Linked DNA regions of Rattus norvegicus. The protein of the gene in region 2 interacts with the protein of the main gene of each other region in a pairwise test. Links are inferred from orthologs where the notes say so. Each region holds a gene or a part of one and is shown on either strand. Other genes may lie near its edges.

Region 1 (3,649 bases), on a different chromosome or scaffold from region 2:
TGGAGCCAGTCTGGACTGTGTAGACCAAGGCTGGTCATTGTCCACTGGTAGTCACTGGCATTGCCACTGCAGTGGAGGAGGGGGAGGGGCTAACTCCTTCGTGCTTGGGTTTGGAATGAGCTGACTGAGTCTGAAAGGAGCCCTTGTGCAATTCTGGGTCCAGTCAGGCCTCGACGGTGTAACCGTGGCCAGGCTGGGCTCCTAAATGCCCCATCTTTCATTCCAGCTCACCAACCACCAGGAGTTGTGGGCCTTCATCGTGACTAACCTTGCGAGTGTGTATATACGGGAAGGAAATAGACACCAAGAGGTAGTAGGTGACATGCTTCATGTTCGGTATCCTCCTCCATCTCCTGTGCGGGGGCTGTGGGTGTCCTAGGCACCCACAGACCTTAGAAAAGCCCAGATGTTTAGTGTTCTATGAGGGTTAGGACTGGGACAGCACTCCTGCAGCCATGTGGCTTTTGTCCCATCCTAAGCCACTCAACCTTTATTGACCCCACATTGTACCTAAAACAAACAAAAAATGTCGTAAGGTTGTCATGGTGCATGTCTTTAATCCAAGCACTCAGGAGGCAGAGGCAGGTGGATCTCTGGGTTCAAGACCATCCTGGTCCACAGAGCAAGTTCCAGAATGGTGAGGGCTATACAGAAACTCTGTCTCAAAAAAAAAAAAAAAAAAAGGACAGAAAAAATTGAGGAGTTTGCATCCAACTGGGGCTCTTGCTTGCTGCCAAGCGGTCTGCCACAGAGCCATACCTCAGCTCCAAATCAGATAGAAGAAAGTCTTGTGTGGGTAGGTTGGTCATCCTCACAGGGCTGACCAGATAAGCCAAGTGCTTTTACCTGGACTTTCTAGCCAAAGCCACAAGAATTAGGTTCTTCTCTGACCCTAGGATATCCCACCCTAAGTCCCTCCAGAGTGGCCCATATTCTCTGACCTCTGCAGCCTTCATTCTAACCATGGCCAATGTCCTCTCTCGTCTGTACAAACCGTGGCCAACTTTCCACATCTGGGCTGAGAGAAGCAGGAAGCCCAACCTCTGTCAACCTGGCTGTTAGGGAGCTGAAGCAGGATTCTTGGTTCATAAGGATAGTGTGTGTCCCAGTGTCCCCACTCTGCTCCTGTCTCCTACATAGTTCCCTCAGACACTCGGTCTTGAAGCTGTTCAGGGCAGGCATGCTGCACGTTATGATAGTCTTCCCGTGGAGTGGAAGAAGCCCTGTCCCCTGTAGCATGTTCAGGGCCTGGCCTCCTCTAGGTAGAGTCCTGACTGATGTTTCTCCACCAGCTGTACAGTTTGCTTGAGAGGATAAACCCAGACCACAGCTTCCCGGTCAGGTGAGCCTGCCTGTGTTCAGCACACACATTCTACTCCCTCATTGCTCTTGGGGTGGTGTATGTGCTTGCGGGCCCCAGACCTCACACATACTCAACACTGCTTGCATCCTAGCCTTTAGACAGTCTTCAGGGGCTGCCTTTGGGAAACTTTTCTCCCGTACCCAACTGAGACTCTGCTTCCTCGCAGCTCACACTGCCTCCGAGCAGCAGCCTTCTATGTACGAGGACTCTTCTCCTTCTTCCAGGGCCGCTACAACGAAGCCAAGTAAGTTTTGATCAGGGCACCATGTTTGATGGCCTCTCCTTCCTCAGTCTACCTCTGCTTCTCTAGGACTAATATGTCTGCGGGTATCAGCATCTGTCTCCTCTTACAGGAGATTTCTTCGAGAAACTCTAAAGATGTCGAATGCAGAGGACCTGAACCGCCTTACTGCCTGCTCCCTTGTGCTGCTGGGTCACATCTTCTATGTGCTGGGAAATCACAGGGTGAGTCCCTACCTAGCCGGTGCACAGGCTGGAGACCTAAGGAACACCACCACGGAAGGTGGCATTTCCTGTCCTGGAATCCAGGGTGTTAAAGGCACGAGGTCCTGGGGTTCCCCTCCTGGACATAGATGTCAGCCTCACAAGCCTCAGAACTAAGAGACAGCTGCCATGTTCCTGTAGGCTTCTCAACATACCATCCCTTGGGAATCCATGGCCCCATGAGACTGTCTCAGAACCTTAGACTAACAATGTCAAACCTTCCTGTGTCTGTGGCACCATCAACCATGTGGCTTCACAAGACTTCTTTACTTCAAATTATTGTCAAATGTATTGAGGGTAGCTTGGCTGTAGAGAGCAGGGAGTGACCTTTAGTATCCCCACTGCTGTGGCTTGCTGCTGGGGCATCTGCTTGGGCATTGGACAAGCCTGTTTACCCTGGGGCCTCTGGTGTGGTGTACTTCAGAGCACTTAGAGTAGCCGTGTGGGCCAGAAGTCTGCTTGTCTAACAGTGTTTCCCACTCCACGGCTTTCTGTAAAACACTCCCTTTGCCTGTATGAGCCTGGCTGGGGAGATAGCTGTGAGGTCAGGGCAGCCAAAGCGAGCCTGGTGGTTGAGCAGCAGGGACAGTTTGCTGAGCCAGGCCCTCGTGGGTACAATTATTGCAGCAGCCAGAGCCAGGTGGCCAGCAGAGATCTGACTCGTGAGGATCAGACCCTGTCCAGGCAGCTATAGAGCCAGCCCATACTTCTAGCCCCTCCTTGGGTCTGGAGGAGGGGGCAGCTCTTCTTGCCCACCGTGTCTGAAGTCTGAGAGGGACCCTACTCGGTTTGGTTGTAGCTGGTGGAGGTTAAGGTCTGAGTAACCCAGCTAAGCTGCATTTGGTCAGGTTGTTTTTCCATTAACCTGTGCCTAGAACTGGAATCTGGTTTGAGGCTTTTAAATTTTTGTTTTTGTTCATTTCTCCATTTGCTTATTTTATGTATGTGAATGTTTGGCTTGTGTGTATGATAAGCACCATGTGTGTGCCTGGTGTCCACAGAGGTCAGAGGCGGGGGTCAGATCAGATTCTCTGGTACAGGAATTAGACAATTGTGAGCTGTCATGTGGGTACTAAGAGCTGCACCTGAGTACTCTGCAAGAGCAGTGAGTACTCTCCACCTCTGTCACAGAAAGGACCCCAACCTGGGCCTGCAGTCTGGGAAGGTAGAACAGTTCAGCGGGGCCTGGTTTGGACTCAGAACTACCTAGGGTTCCTCAGTGTGAGGTCAGAAACAGAACACTGCACTCCAGGTCTCCCCTAGCCTCATCATGAGAACACTGGGCTTCTAGATCAGCAGCTCTGCACACACAGAGGGAGTCACAGGCCTAGAGACCCCATATCCCCACAGTAGCCTACAAAAGCCAGCTCAAAGGAGCAAATCTTCTGCACTCAGTCCTTTAGCTCCCTTCTCTTGAAGCCTAGGTTGGGACACCCGCATGAATGTATAGTTTATTAATCATTTCTAATTGTGGGGCCACAGCCCTCTTTTTCTCTAGCTGGCAAGAGGCATGTATGGCTCATTCATTGCCTCGTGTGCAAAGGGGAGCAAGAATGCTCAGTTTGTTTTTTCCAAGGTGAACAAGAGTACCTTAGAGGGCCGTTTTGGGTAGGCTCTGAGGGTGCAGTTCATGTTTGTCCAGGAGCAACAGAACATAAAATGGGCAGATGGAGTCAAAGATACTCTTCCATGACCTCACTGTTAATTCTTAGCTTTTGATTGGCAGGAGAGTAACAACATGGTGGTACCTGCCATGCAGCTGGCCAGCAAGATCCCAGACAT
Region 2 (3,649 bases):
AAAAAATGTTTTGTCTCTTCACCCTCTAGATCGAAGATTTATTGGTACTGTGAAAATGGAGAACCATGCAACTAAGTATATATAAAAACTGCTAATATTCAACAAATAGGAAGCATTCTGGATCAGCAAATTATAGCTTATTTATGTATAATTAAAAAAATGATTCTCTTGTTTTTCTTTTCTGTTTTCAATTATGAAAGAATAGGAAAACAACAATATTAATACTTATTTATAGACATGAGTATCAAGAAATTAGCCATGTGAACCATTCCCCTTTTACTTGAGCCCCAGAAGTCCCAGAAATACAAGGGAAGCAGTACTGAGTGGCAGGCTCAGCACGTCACCATGGCAACGCATCAGCTGCCTTGCATTCACAGTGACCACACCCTTGTCCGACCTTCTTACCACATCAGTGATGTTTAAAATTTTCCTTGTCATTGCTTCTTTGTCATTATGTGGAGTTGGAGTAAACCAGAGCTTCTGGAATGTTTCATTTACTAATTTCTAGAAGAAGACAAAGAAACCCAATCAATTACTAACAAAGATCGCAAACTTTTAATTAATTGTAAATTCCCATTAAAGCCCAACACAAAGCTAGTTATTAAAAAAGAAAAGTTTAAGTTAATTAAAAATTTTCTTGTGATTAAAACAACAGATTTCACTAATTATAAATTCTGTCTAATGGGTTGAGATTTCAAATAGAGGATGAGTAAAACTATGTTTAGCCTATAGCTTATGCAGAAAATACTTTTAAAATAAAAAATGTGTCTGTTGTGTGCATGTGTTATGTGCGTCACCTGTGTGCAGTGCCTGCAGGAGCCAGAGGAGGCGCTGGATCCGTTAGGGCTGGAGTGAGTGCAGGTGGTTGTGAGCCACCTGTGTGGGCGCTGGAATCTGAACCTGGGTTCTCTCTCTGCAAGACCAGCAAGCACAGCCCCTGACTTGTTTTTGATCAGACTAAAACCACTGTTACGGCTGTGTGCGCACGCGCATGCGCGCATCCGTGAATGCACATAAGAGACAACAGGATATCCAGGTGTCAACCTCTATCACTTTCCACCTAGCTGTCTTGAGACAGGATCTCCCACTCAACTGGAAGCTTGCGGTTTTGGTAGGGTTGGCTAGCCAGAGAGGCCTTTGAAATCTGCCTGCCCCCACCTGCCCAATGCTAGAGGTAAGGCACATGCAGCCGCATCCAGCTTTTTATGTGGATGCTGGAGATATGAACTCAGGTTTTCATGCTTGTAAAAAATTGCTCCTACCCACTATCTACATAGCTCCCTTTTATTCCTTTAAAGGGAGGAACTTGTGTGGGATCAACTTAACAGAAGCTAAAGTTATTTGAGCAGAGAAAACTCAATTAAAATCAGTTCTGGGTTCTCTAAGAAAGCAGACTGGGCAAGCCAGATGGAGCAAGCCAGTAAGCAGTACCAGTAAGCATTAGCTGCCGCCGCCTCTAGGTTCCTGCCCTGCTTGGGTTCCTGTCCTGATTTCTTCCAATGCTGAACAGTGAGGCGAACGGTAAGCCAAACAAACTCTCTTCACTGCAAAGTTCCTTTGCTCATGGTATTTTTTCATGGCAATAGCAACCCTAATTATGACAGAAATTGGTACCAGCAGAGTGGGTCACTGTTGTCATAGATCTGACCATGTTCTTTGTGGGAAGATTGTGGAAGGACTGTAGAACTTTGGGCAAGAAAAACCATTGGTGAGCTGTTCTATGGGAGCTTGGTAGAATGTTGGGAGCAATGCAGAAAAAGGAGGCCTGACTTGTGAAATTTCAAAAGGAATTTGAGGGTTTCTTAATGACTCTATCAGAGATGCTTGCTATTTTGAGCTAAGAATTTGTGGTTCTGGTTAGCTAGGGCTGGAGAATACGCTGTGAGTAACAAAACATAAGAAACACTAACGAAAAACTGCTTTACTGTGACAACTGATGTTGGTCACTTGGAGCTGACAAACTGGTGGTTAATAAGCAGAGGCCAGCACCACTCAGGTGAAATCTTTTGCTAAGTGTTTGCTCAGAGTCAGCATAAAGAAGCTGTATTCAGAGGTAGCCAAGGTTGTAACTTTGTGCTAGCACCCAAACTTGGTCATGTCTCCCAGGTGGTACTTGTTTTGAAGGCAAAAAGGGGTCATGGAGAGCAGCTGAGGTTTGGCACTACAGGAAGCCAAGGGAGGCCACTTGTGAAGGTGTAGCCAGAGTAGCAGTGGAAGCCCCAGGACTGAAGGGATCATGGAGAGAAGCTGAGGCTTTGCATCATGGAGAGAGCCTATTGGTGAAAGTGAGCCCAGGTGCAATAGAAGATGCCTGCATTTTGAAGATGCCAACACCACGGGAGGACTGTCAGAAACAGCAGCAGCTGTGTGTGGAGTGGACCCAGCCTGAGTCAAGAACACAAGCTGTGTGGTTCCCAGACTGTGGAACCTGAGAAGTGACCCAGGCCCTTTGGAGGAGTCTGGAAGATTGTGAGTCCTAAATACCAGACATTGAGTGATTACACTGTTGGAATATGGTTTTACATTTATCTGATTGTCACTGTGTCCTCATTTTTTCCTCTCGAAATAGAAGTCTTTAACTTAATTTTGATTTTATAGTAGCCCATACTTGAGAGACTTTCTACTTTAAAAGACTTTAACATGTTTGAATTTGTAATACCGTGGGACTTTTAAGTTTGTAAAATGTTTCCTATTATGATGTTTATATTAATGTTAGATCTTGAGGATGAACAAGAAAAGTTGTGACTTTGTAGTGATTTGTTTGTGTGTCAAGCTGACAAGGGGTCAGTTATACAGGACAATTTTATGTCAACCAGAACCAGCTAAGGTCATCTGAGAGAAGGGAACTTCAAATGAGAAAATGCCCTACAGGCTGTAGGCAAGTCTGTAACTGAAAATCAAGAACATTCTATTTAAAAATCAAGATAATTTCAATCTGGTAATAATTTTGGATAAAATACAGTCACTACAGTTAAATAAGTATTGTAATGGTTGAATATGTTGGAAAAGACCACATTTTAGTAATATAAAATTTAGAAACAAAATAAAAAAGATTCGATAAACACCTAAATAATTTTAACAGTAATAAAAAAGAAATCCCATATGATCAGAGTTTCATCTTACCTTAATGCCCTCTTCATCATTGACTCTCCGAATCATCTTTACACACATTTCTGTAATTTTTGGAAATGTTGGTTGTTCAATACAGATGTCTCTTAAAATCTTTATTACTCTTTTCCTGACACTGATACCAGTATCCTAAGAACAAAATGCATTTTCAAATGTTAGGAGTGCGAAATTTGACAAAATAGTGTTAACAATGTTTCCCAAGCATTATCCCCCCTATCTGTTAGTGAAACTGTGATGTAACCTATAAAAACCCTATAACCTGTGGACCTACACTTAGTAATGAGTGTGAGACCACAGGGTAAGTTTGCTGCAGTAACCGGGGTGGTAAACTTTTAGAACCGTGTCTGGTACTTCAAGGCATACGAAGCAGCATCTGTGATGTAGAGAACAAGTGCTTACGCTAAGTCAAGTAAACCTTTTACAAACTACTCCTGTACCACACTAACGGCAATGACAAAATTTGTCACTGCAGCACTACAGAACATACTGTATACTTCTATAAAAAAATCAATATGTTTAA

The links. The genes of interacting proteins can lie anywhere in the genome.
Region 1: the proteins of Nipbl (region 2) and Mau2 interact in binary tests that used the Homo sapiens proteins (3 or more experiments, as listed by UniProt). The link is inferred for Rattus norvegicus from reciprocal best matches to the Homo sapiens genes NIPBL and MAU2.

The regions. Positions count from the first base shown.
Region 1 is NC_086034.1:19,438,218-19,441,866, forward strand, and holds part of Mau2 (MAU2 chromatid cohesion factor homolog), read left to right. Parts: intron 1-226; coding exon 227-313; exon of another isoform or gene 314-366; intron 367-1,292; coding exon 1,293-1,342; intron 1,343-1,529; coding exon 1,530-1,607; intron 1,608-1,716; coding exon 1,717-1,828; intron 1,829-3,593; coding exon 3,594-3,649. UniProt on the Homo sapiens protein: Plays an important role in the loading of the cohesin complex on to DNA. Forms a heterodimeric complex (also known as cohesin loading complex) with NIPBL/SCC2 which mediates the loading of the cohesin complex onto chromatin.
Region 2 is NC_086020.1:59,157,278-59,160,926, forward strand, and holds part of Nipbl (nipped-B-like protein), read right to left. Parts: intron 3,259-3,649; coding exon 3,124-3,258; intron 505-3,123; coding exon 406-504; intron 1-405. UniProt on the Homo sapiens protein: Plays an important role in the loading of the cohesin complex on to DNA. Forms a heterodimeric complex (also known as cohesin loading complex) with MAU2/SCC4 which mediates the loading of the cohesin complex onto chromatin.